2 linked regions of the Oryzias latipes genome follow. The protein of the gene in region 1 interacts with the protein of each later gene in a pairwise test. Links are inferred from orthologs where the notes say so. Each region holds a gene or a part of one and is shown on either strand. Other genes may lie near its edges.

Region 1 (3,253 bases):
AAGGTGGCTCGGGCATCTAGTCTGAATGCCCCCTGAACGCCTTCCTGGGGAGGTGTTCCGGGCATGTCCCACTGGACGGAGGCCGCGGGGAAGACCCAGGACACGTTGGAGAGACTACGTCTCTCGGCTGGCCTGAGAACACCTCCTGGTCCCCCCAGAGGAGCTGGAGGAAGTGCCCGGGGCAAGGGAAGTCTGGGCATCTTTGCTTAGACTGCTGCCCCTGCGACCCAGTCCCGGATAAGCGGAGGAAGATGGATGGATGGATGGATGGATGGATGGATGGATGGATGGATGGATGGATGGATGGATAGAGAATAGAATGGATCTTTATTTGTCACAGGTACAATGAAATTAAAAGTGCTTCCTGGTCCGTGCAACACTCATACCTTAAGCAGCCCATGATACAAACTTACTACTAAAAATAACAAAGTTAATATGTTGCTAAATAAAAGTGCATTTGTCATTAAAAAACAAACAGGATACCTAATTAAGACCATGAGAAAGACCCAGGACACACTGGAGAGACTCCGTCTTTCGGCTGGCCTGGAAACGCCTCCGGGTCCCCCCAGAGGAGCTGGAGGAAGTGGCTGGGGCGAGGGAAGTCTGGGCATCTTCGGTTAGACTGCTGCCCCAGAAGCTGGTCCCAATGAGCAGAAGAAAATGGATAGATATTAATTACTGAATTAATCGGCAGGGTGTTGACTTTGAATGTCAAGCTGGGTCAAATTAGGGGCTCAGCTGCTAATTCTCTTCTTTAAAGTGTTAGTTATTTGGCCTGTATGACCAACACATTTGTAAACAAGAACAAATTTTAATCACTGCAGATCATGCATAAATAACTGTTTGCTGAAAAAGCTTAAATGGAGTTTAACTGACCTGAATAATGTTGAATGATGTTATTATTAAAGTTACGACAAATGAATATTGAGCCAAAAAAAATTAAGGAAATAAGAGATTAGCTGAAGAACTTTGTACAATTCTAATGTAAAGATTTAAAAAATTCTGAAGAACTATATTCAGTGCAGATCCAACGGGCTGCAGTTCTCCAGTTGTCTTTTTGTCTGATGCCTGGATATAATTGAATATTGATAATTATACAGCTGAACTAAACAGGTCATATTCATATTAAATTAGCTAAAATAAAAAAAAAAAGGGGTAACAATACATTTGGGGATTCCAGCATAGATAAGTGAGAACTTATCCAGGAAGTCCCATCATCAAAGTAGCTCACAGAAACAGAAGCACAAATCACATAATTTGTTTACAATAAGTACAATAAACCACTCGGACTGTCCCGTTTCTGGTTCTTAGCTCTGACTGCTTCTCCTGCTCTCCGCCCCCTCTTCCCATCTCTGCCTGCAGCCATCTGCCTCCATCTCTTGGTCTCTGCTTCGCTCTCCCTCCTGATTCATTTGTCATGTCTATTTTTTGCTCTGTCGTTCCTACTTTTATGAGAGAAGTCTGCACAGCAAACCTTTGACTTTGTAATATTTAAATCCACCTGCCTTGTGTTGGACCGAGACGGTCTGGATCTCTGACTCTGGCCGGAATACAAAATTTAGGTGCTTGGATGGGAAAGAACCCCAAAAATGTCTTTACTGACAATTTATTTTTATCTACATGATCTAACACAATTCTATTACAGAGGCTTGATGCTGAAAAGGCTTTTCAAACTAAGGAATACCAAAATCACTAGGAAATGCCAACATTAAAGCTAAATTAGCTGAATGAGTTTTTGATTTTACACATTGGTCTATTTCAAATGCTAATTCAATTCTAAAATACTTAAATAGTAGTCATGTTTCACTTATATAGATGTTTTTAGGCTGTAATCCTCCTCCTGAAAAGTAGAAACAATAAACTCCTCAGTTTCATTTGATCGTATTTACTGTTTTATTATATTTATTTGGTACATTTATATGAATTTATATTTACATATTTATGAAAATTCTCCTGTGAATTCTCCTATTAAAAGGCTTTGGCCTATTGGCAAAAATGTATAAAAAATGTTAAAGGAATAGAGAAACACTGGCTATGTGTGTGTGTGAGTTCACTGGACCACATAAAACCACTTCACTAAAAAGCAACTTTGGCGACTTGATAATTGAGGTTGGAGGAGGGGTCATCACACAGTTCAGCAGGGTTTCTCTGACCGTCCCACCGGCAATGTTTTTGCTTTGTCCTTCCATATAAATTCTTCCAGTCTCCTCTGTCCCATGAAGTTTTCCAACCAGGTCATGGGGAGAGAAGTGTGGAAAGGGCGAATTTACAGACTTCAATTGTACTTTGTATAAAGTCACCTGAGGAGAACTGTCGCACAGTGTGATGCCGCCCTTGTTGAAGGTGACTGTGAGAGGATTTTGCCTTGTAGCGGCTAAAGTATGGCCTAACTAAAAAATAAATCAATCTCTGCAGATAAAGACAGACTATCTGATGGAATGTACCACTTTACGTCAAGAAATCACAGAAATTAAAATATGGATTTATGATGGAATGATGATTTCTGTTGCTATGTTTTTAAAGTCCTGTCACTCAAAGCAATTTCTGTGCGTGTGTGCAGGGAGCAGATAACCTTGGGGTGTCACGTAGAGGTTGTCGGATCATCTGAGTCAACCAGCTGTGAATCGAGGAGGAGGAGGAGGGGTTCGTCTCGGACAAAAGGTCGCTCTTCCAGCAGCAGGAGCAGATCCTCAGGGAGTTCCAAATACTTGGGACGCTATTCCAGAAGCTCCTCGTTGTCTTCTCGCAGGTAGATCTGACAAGATGTGTAGCAAATGAGCTCAAATCTACGTCTCCTGCAGCACCAATGTACTTTATGTCTTCACAGCTCGTACTCACGATCCCCCAGTCACTCAGATGTCAGGCGAAGAGGCAGCATGAGCAGCCTGAGCTCCAGAGGAAGCTACTCCAGACACAGTGATGACAGGTGAACTTCAGCTACTAATTCCTTTCTGTCCGTCTCTCCCCTCCTGGGTACGGGTTTCCTGGTGGTGGATATGTGTTGGTGGATGGAGTGGTACCAATTGGTTAGAGTTTGATGTGTTTGGTTGTCTGTAGCCCCCACTGAGACCCACGTGAGCAACTTTGGTCCGCCAAACACCCAAACACCGGTTGGGCCCTGGCCTGAGCTCCTCTTGAGTACTTGGAGGTGGGGCCTCTAGTCTGCTGGGTGCTAGTGGGAGGAGCTAGTTGCCATTGTACGGCAACAGTGGTTTAGTCTTGTTGACAAGAAAGTAATGTAAAAAAAATATAT
Region 2 (4,266 bases), on another chromosome or scaffold:
CTGCCTGCCTGCGTACCACCTCCCATTAAACTTCATTAACGCCTCCTTGCACTGATCATCTCTGATTAGAAAAACAAGAGGACACACAAATAAAGACTTATCCACCTAAGTATCTAAAGTCTAATGATAATGGATTTGTTGTAAACTTACGTCTCAAACTGAATATAAACATTGCCTTTCAGGTGTGGTTCGTAATTGCAGCAGACCTGATAAGAACAGAAAAAAAGTGTCAAACCGACTAAAAGTGTATTTTCTTCAGCAAAAACTAATTTTAGGACAAAATAGAAGGATGTCGCTAAAGTATCACGACTGAGAAGGAAGTTCTGCTTCAAAATAATACACTGGAGCCAAAATATTTCCAAAAAAAATAAAAAAGGGTTTAAAAAAAAAGCACAGCCATACACGGCTATCTTACCTTGAACTGCACCACCTTGCCAACACTCTTAAACTCAGGGAGAACGTCATGGTAAAACTCAAGGAAAGACTCGTGCAGGTCCTCCTCACTGTGCTCTAAACAAGCGTCCATGTCATAATCGTCGCGCCGCAATTGCTCCATCCCAAAGGTCATAAACATGCCACGGATCATGAGAGTCGGGCTGGATGTGGGGTAGACATGCTTCCGAGAACATCTGCACACGTAAAAAAAAAAAAAAAAAAAGTGGGATAAATATGATCAAATTTATAGGGAAAAATTGCCTCGAAGTAAGATGTACATTTAAAAATGATATTAGCAATGGAAAAAAGAAAAGCACCTTTCTCCAAATCGACAAGCTCCGGTCTTCAGAAAGAAAGGACAGTTGGCAACATCACGCTCTGTTCCATAATTCTCAAAGTTCATGTTCACAGGAGCCTCAGGGTTCATCCATGGTCCTTTATGTTCAAGCTGCAATGCAACAAAACCATGAAAACATGACAGAGTCTGGCATCCTAAAACATGATTGTAGCACATAGCACATGATGATGTAAACACTTACGCAGACTTCATAAACAAAGTGTTTTAAATCCATAACTGTCAAATTTATTTTTTATTTAATATCCCAAGTGTTTGTTTTGTTTTTTTTTACCTGATTTTCTGCTTCATCCAGCATTTTCTGAACAGCTTCCTACAAATGGTGTAAAGACATGGCTGGTGAAAATGTGAAGACGTCAACATACTGCCGCATGTCTGTCATTCTGGGTTAAGACCCTTCACATGGACTGACAGGCACCAAAATATTTGGGGTTTAACATTTATTCGTATCAGACTTCTGTTCCATTTCCACTGTTTTCACACAAAGTAAAAGATACGTTCTTGTTGTGGGGGGTGAAGGTGTTCTCTTTGAGTGTGTCTTAGTCAAGGAGCAAGAAAAATGCTTGTGCCACTTAGTCAAGGAACAGAAAAATACAAATAACACAATAATTTGCAAAAAGTTCAACATATCTTATAGTGCAGATTATTTAAAGTTCTGCATGATCACTATAAACACTCTGTAGATAAAAGAGGATATATTTCTTTATGTTTCTATCCTCCCGGAGTCCGTTTCACCTCTCTGTCCCGCCTCTCCTGAAGCTTCTGCTCCTTCTCCTCTTGTTCTCTCTTCTGCTGGGCCTCCCATTCCTCCTTTATCATCCGCTGTACACGAACACGAGGACACACGGGTTCATTTGGAATGACACTTTCAAACAAAGGGATTTGTTAAGCATCCATAGAAGTGCGTGTGAGAAAAGTGCATCACCCTAACAACCTGAAGAAATGTTTTCAATGGATTTGTAATTTTTAAACATCCTATTTTAAAAATCAATAAACCACAAATCTGGTCTCCTAATCTATGTGTGGGCAAATGAATGTAAAACATTTTGTTGGAACTAAATGGTCACTTAGTTCAAAGCCAGCGAGCTCTATCAGTGCATTATTACTATTATGGTACCTAAAACATCAGTAAGAATAGAAAATAAATGACCTCTTCTTCTTCCTTTTTTTTGCGTGCAGTTTCTTCCCTCTCCACCCTTAACCTAAACTCCTCCTGGGCCAGCCTCTCTCTTTCCAGCCATTCCTTATGCAACTGTAGTCTATAAAACAGAGCACATTAACAATCAAGTGATGAAGATGTTCTCGGTCACAGATGGTGTAACTGTAGGTCAGCTACAAACCTTTCTTCCTCAGTTAAGCCAGTATCCTCCCCATTTTCCTCATCAACTGTACACTCTTCTTCAGCTTCACCCTGGACATCTGTAATAAAACAAATCATTATGTGTAAGGGTGGGGGGCAATACAGGTAAAATCCCCCCACGTGACTTCCTGAACAAACCCAAAAGCACTGAACAGCTATCCCCTTACCGGACTCTCTGGCTTGGGCAACAGCTTGACGTTTCCTCCGTCTCCTCTCTTTGCGCTGAGCAGCCTTGCGTTGCTTCTGACTGTAGCGAAGAATACAAAAGCCTTTCAGAAACGCATTGCAGTACATTTTCAATACAACACGAAAGATGACGACAAGTCTGAATGAATGAATAACTTATCCTCTTAGCCAACAACTTTAGTTGTGTTGATTACAATCAACGAGTGAAAATACTACTATATACTAATAAAATGATGTATATTCGTAAAATCGCCAGATGTTACTAACCTTAAAATTGGAGCAGAAATTGGACCAGGAATGGAGGCTGCCATCTCAACGAGCGATAGCTAGTATGCTAACTATTGAGCTCATTTGAAGTTTACACACCGGTCAATTTTATTATATTTTTTGGCTAAACTCTTTTATCCAGTATGTCTTTGTTTATTTTGCAGAGTGAGACAGATACGGGTTTCAGAAGAAATCAGTAGTTTGTTTAAAATAGAACGGAAAAAAAAGAGTTAGCTAAATAAAGAGCTTCTATGCTGAAAACAGGAAGTCGAAGGGAAGTACTTCCGTTTTTGAAGTGTCTTCTTCTTCTTTGGTTCCTAACAATGGTGTGAATGAATCACAGCAACACACTTTTTTTCAAAGACTTTCAAGTGATTCTTTAAATCATAATTTCAGTATTGTAATTACACACACATATTCCCAGTGGATAATTTAAATAAATAGACATGTCTCATTTTAATTGACAAAATTAACACATAAAGAGAATAGAAGTCTGAGGGGAATGAAAAATATGGTTGAATAAAGAGTAGACTATTATTAACGTGTCTTATTTACAAGAAAACTTTATTTTTATATTAACTTTGGGGATGCAGTGGCTCAGGTGGTTAAGCAGGTGAGCCAAAGTTTGAAGGGTTGGCAGTTTGATCCCCGCTCACCCCAGCCAAGTGTCGCTGTGTCTTTGGGCAAGACACCTCCTCTCTGCCTCCAGCGTGGCCCCACTGGTGTGTGAATGCATGTACATTTCCTGGTGATGGCCAGAGGCGCGTACTGGCAGCCTCTTAGTTTTTAGTTAGCTTTTAGCTGATCTAATTTTGTCTTTTATTGTTTTAATTTGTTTTTATTGTCTTTTACTATGTTAAGTCTGTGATACGTGTCAGATGTTGTAGTTAATTGGGGGGGGGGGGGGGGTTGTGAAGCAATTTGTGATTCTTTTTTGTGAAAGTTGCTATAGAAATAAATATTTACTTACTTTACTCATGTATTCTTACCATCTTTCATTGGATATTAATAAGCAGATTGACACAGATACGATTTTATCTTTATGTATCAGAAAGACAAAGCAAAAAATTACAATTCAAACAAAAAAAAGCCTAAACAAATGTGTTTTAGCTTATTTACTTCCTAAAGACCCAATATGGGAAGCATAAAAACAATTTTATTTTTATTTTTTCCAGCCCCTCTTACACAGTTGAGCCAAACTTTTGTAAGGCATCTTTGATATTATTAGCCCCCCTGTTTTTCTATTTAATCTTCTTTCTTTTCTGCTGTCGGCCTGAGGAAGAACTCTGGCTGGGTGCAACACCGGTAGCAAAGAGCTTGAGGCACCAGAGTGTACAATAAATTGACCAGCAGGAAAACAAGCTGGCTGCTAACAGGCACTCTGTATGAGAACGGAGTCCGAGTGTGAAGAGATGCACCAATGTAAGAAAACTGGGCCTGAAAAAGAACAAAGAAAATCAGACAATAATCAACGAACACAATATTGTCTTGAACTGAAATCACTGTTAAGAAATGTCTTTAAACAAAATGTCATTATGATGTGTGGCGATTTCTTCTTAACAAAAAATATTTAAAAAATATTGTAAGAAAAGGGATGCAAGGGTTTTTGCATCAATTTAACGCAAACCCCTCAAAGTAAGCACAATCTCTGCCTGAGTTAGAC

Evidence for each region. The genes of interacting proteins can lie anywhere in the genome.
Region 2: the proteins of srrm4 (region 1) and zrsr2 interact in binary tests that used the Homo sapiens proteins (3 or more experiments, as listed by UniProt). The link is inferred for Oryzias latipes from reciprocal best matches to the Homo sapiens genes SRRM4 and ZRSR2.

What each region holds. Positions count from the first base shown.
Region 1 is NC_019867.2:3,762,417-3,765,669, forward strand, and holds part of srrm4 (serine/arginine repetitive matrix protein 4), read left to right. Parts: intron 1-2,560; coding exon 2,561-2,749; intron 2,750-2,827; coding exon 2,828-2,926; intron 2,927-3,253. UniProt on the Homo sapiens protein: Splicing factor specifically required for neural cell differentiation.
Region 2 is NC_019861.2:13,881,256-13,885,521, reverse strand, and holds the start of zrsr2 (U2 small nuclear ribonucleoprotein auxiliary factor 35 kDa subunit-related protein 2), read right to left. Parts: upstream 2,892-4,266; 5' UTR 2,648-2,891; coding exon 2,604-2,647; intron 2,398-2,603; coding exon 2,318-2,397; intron 2,210-2,317; coding exon 2,131-2,209; intron 2,050-2,130; coding exon 1,941-2,049; intron 1,613-1,940; coding exon 1,526-1,612; intron 1,104-1,525; coding exon 1,065-1,103; intron 884-1,064; coding exon 753-883; intron 630-752; coding exon 416-629; intron 207-415; coding exon 151-206; intron 62-150; coding exon 1-61. Other genes in the region: tm6sf1 (transmembrane 6 superfamily member 1), read right to left, coding at 3,849-4,040. UniProt on the Homo sapiens protein: Pre-mRNA-binding protein required for splicing of both U2- and U12-type introns. Selectively interacts with the 3'-splice site of U2- and U12-type pre-mRNAs and promotes different steps in U2 and U12 intron splicing.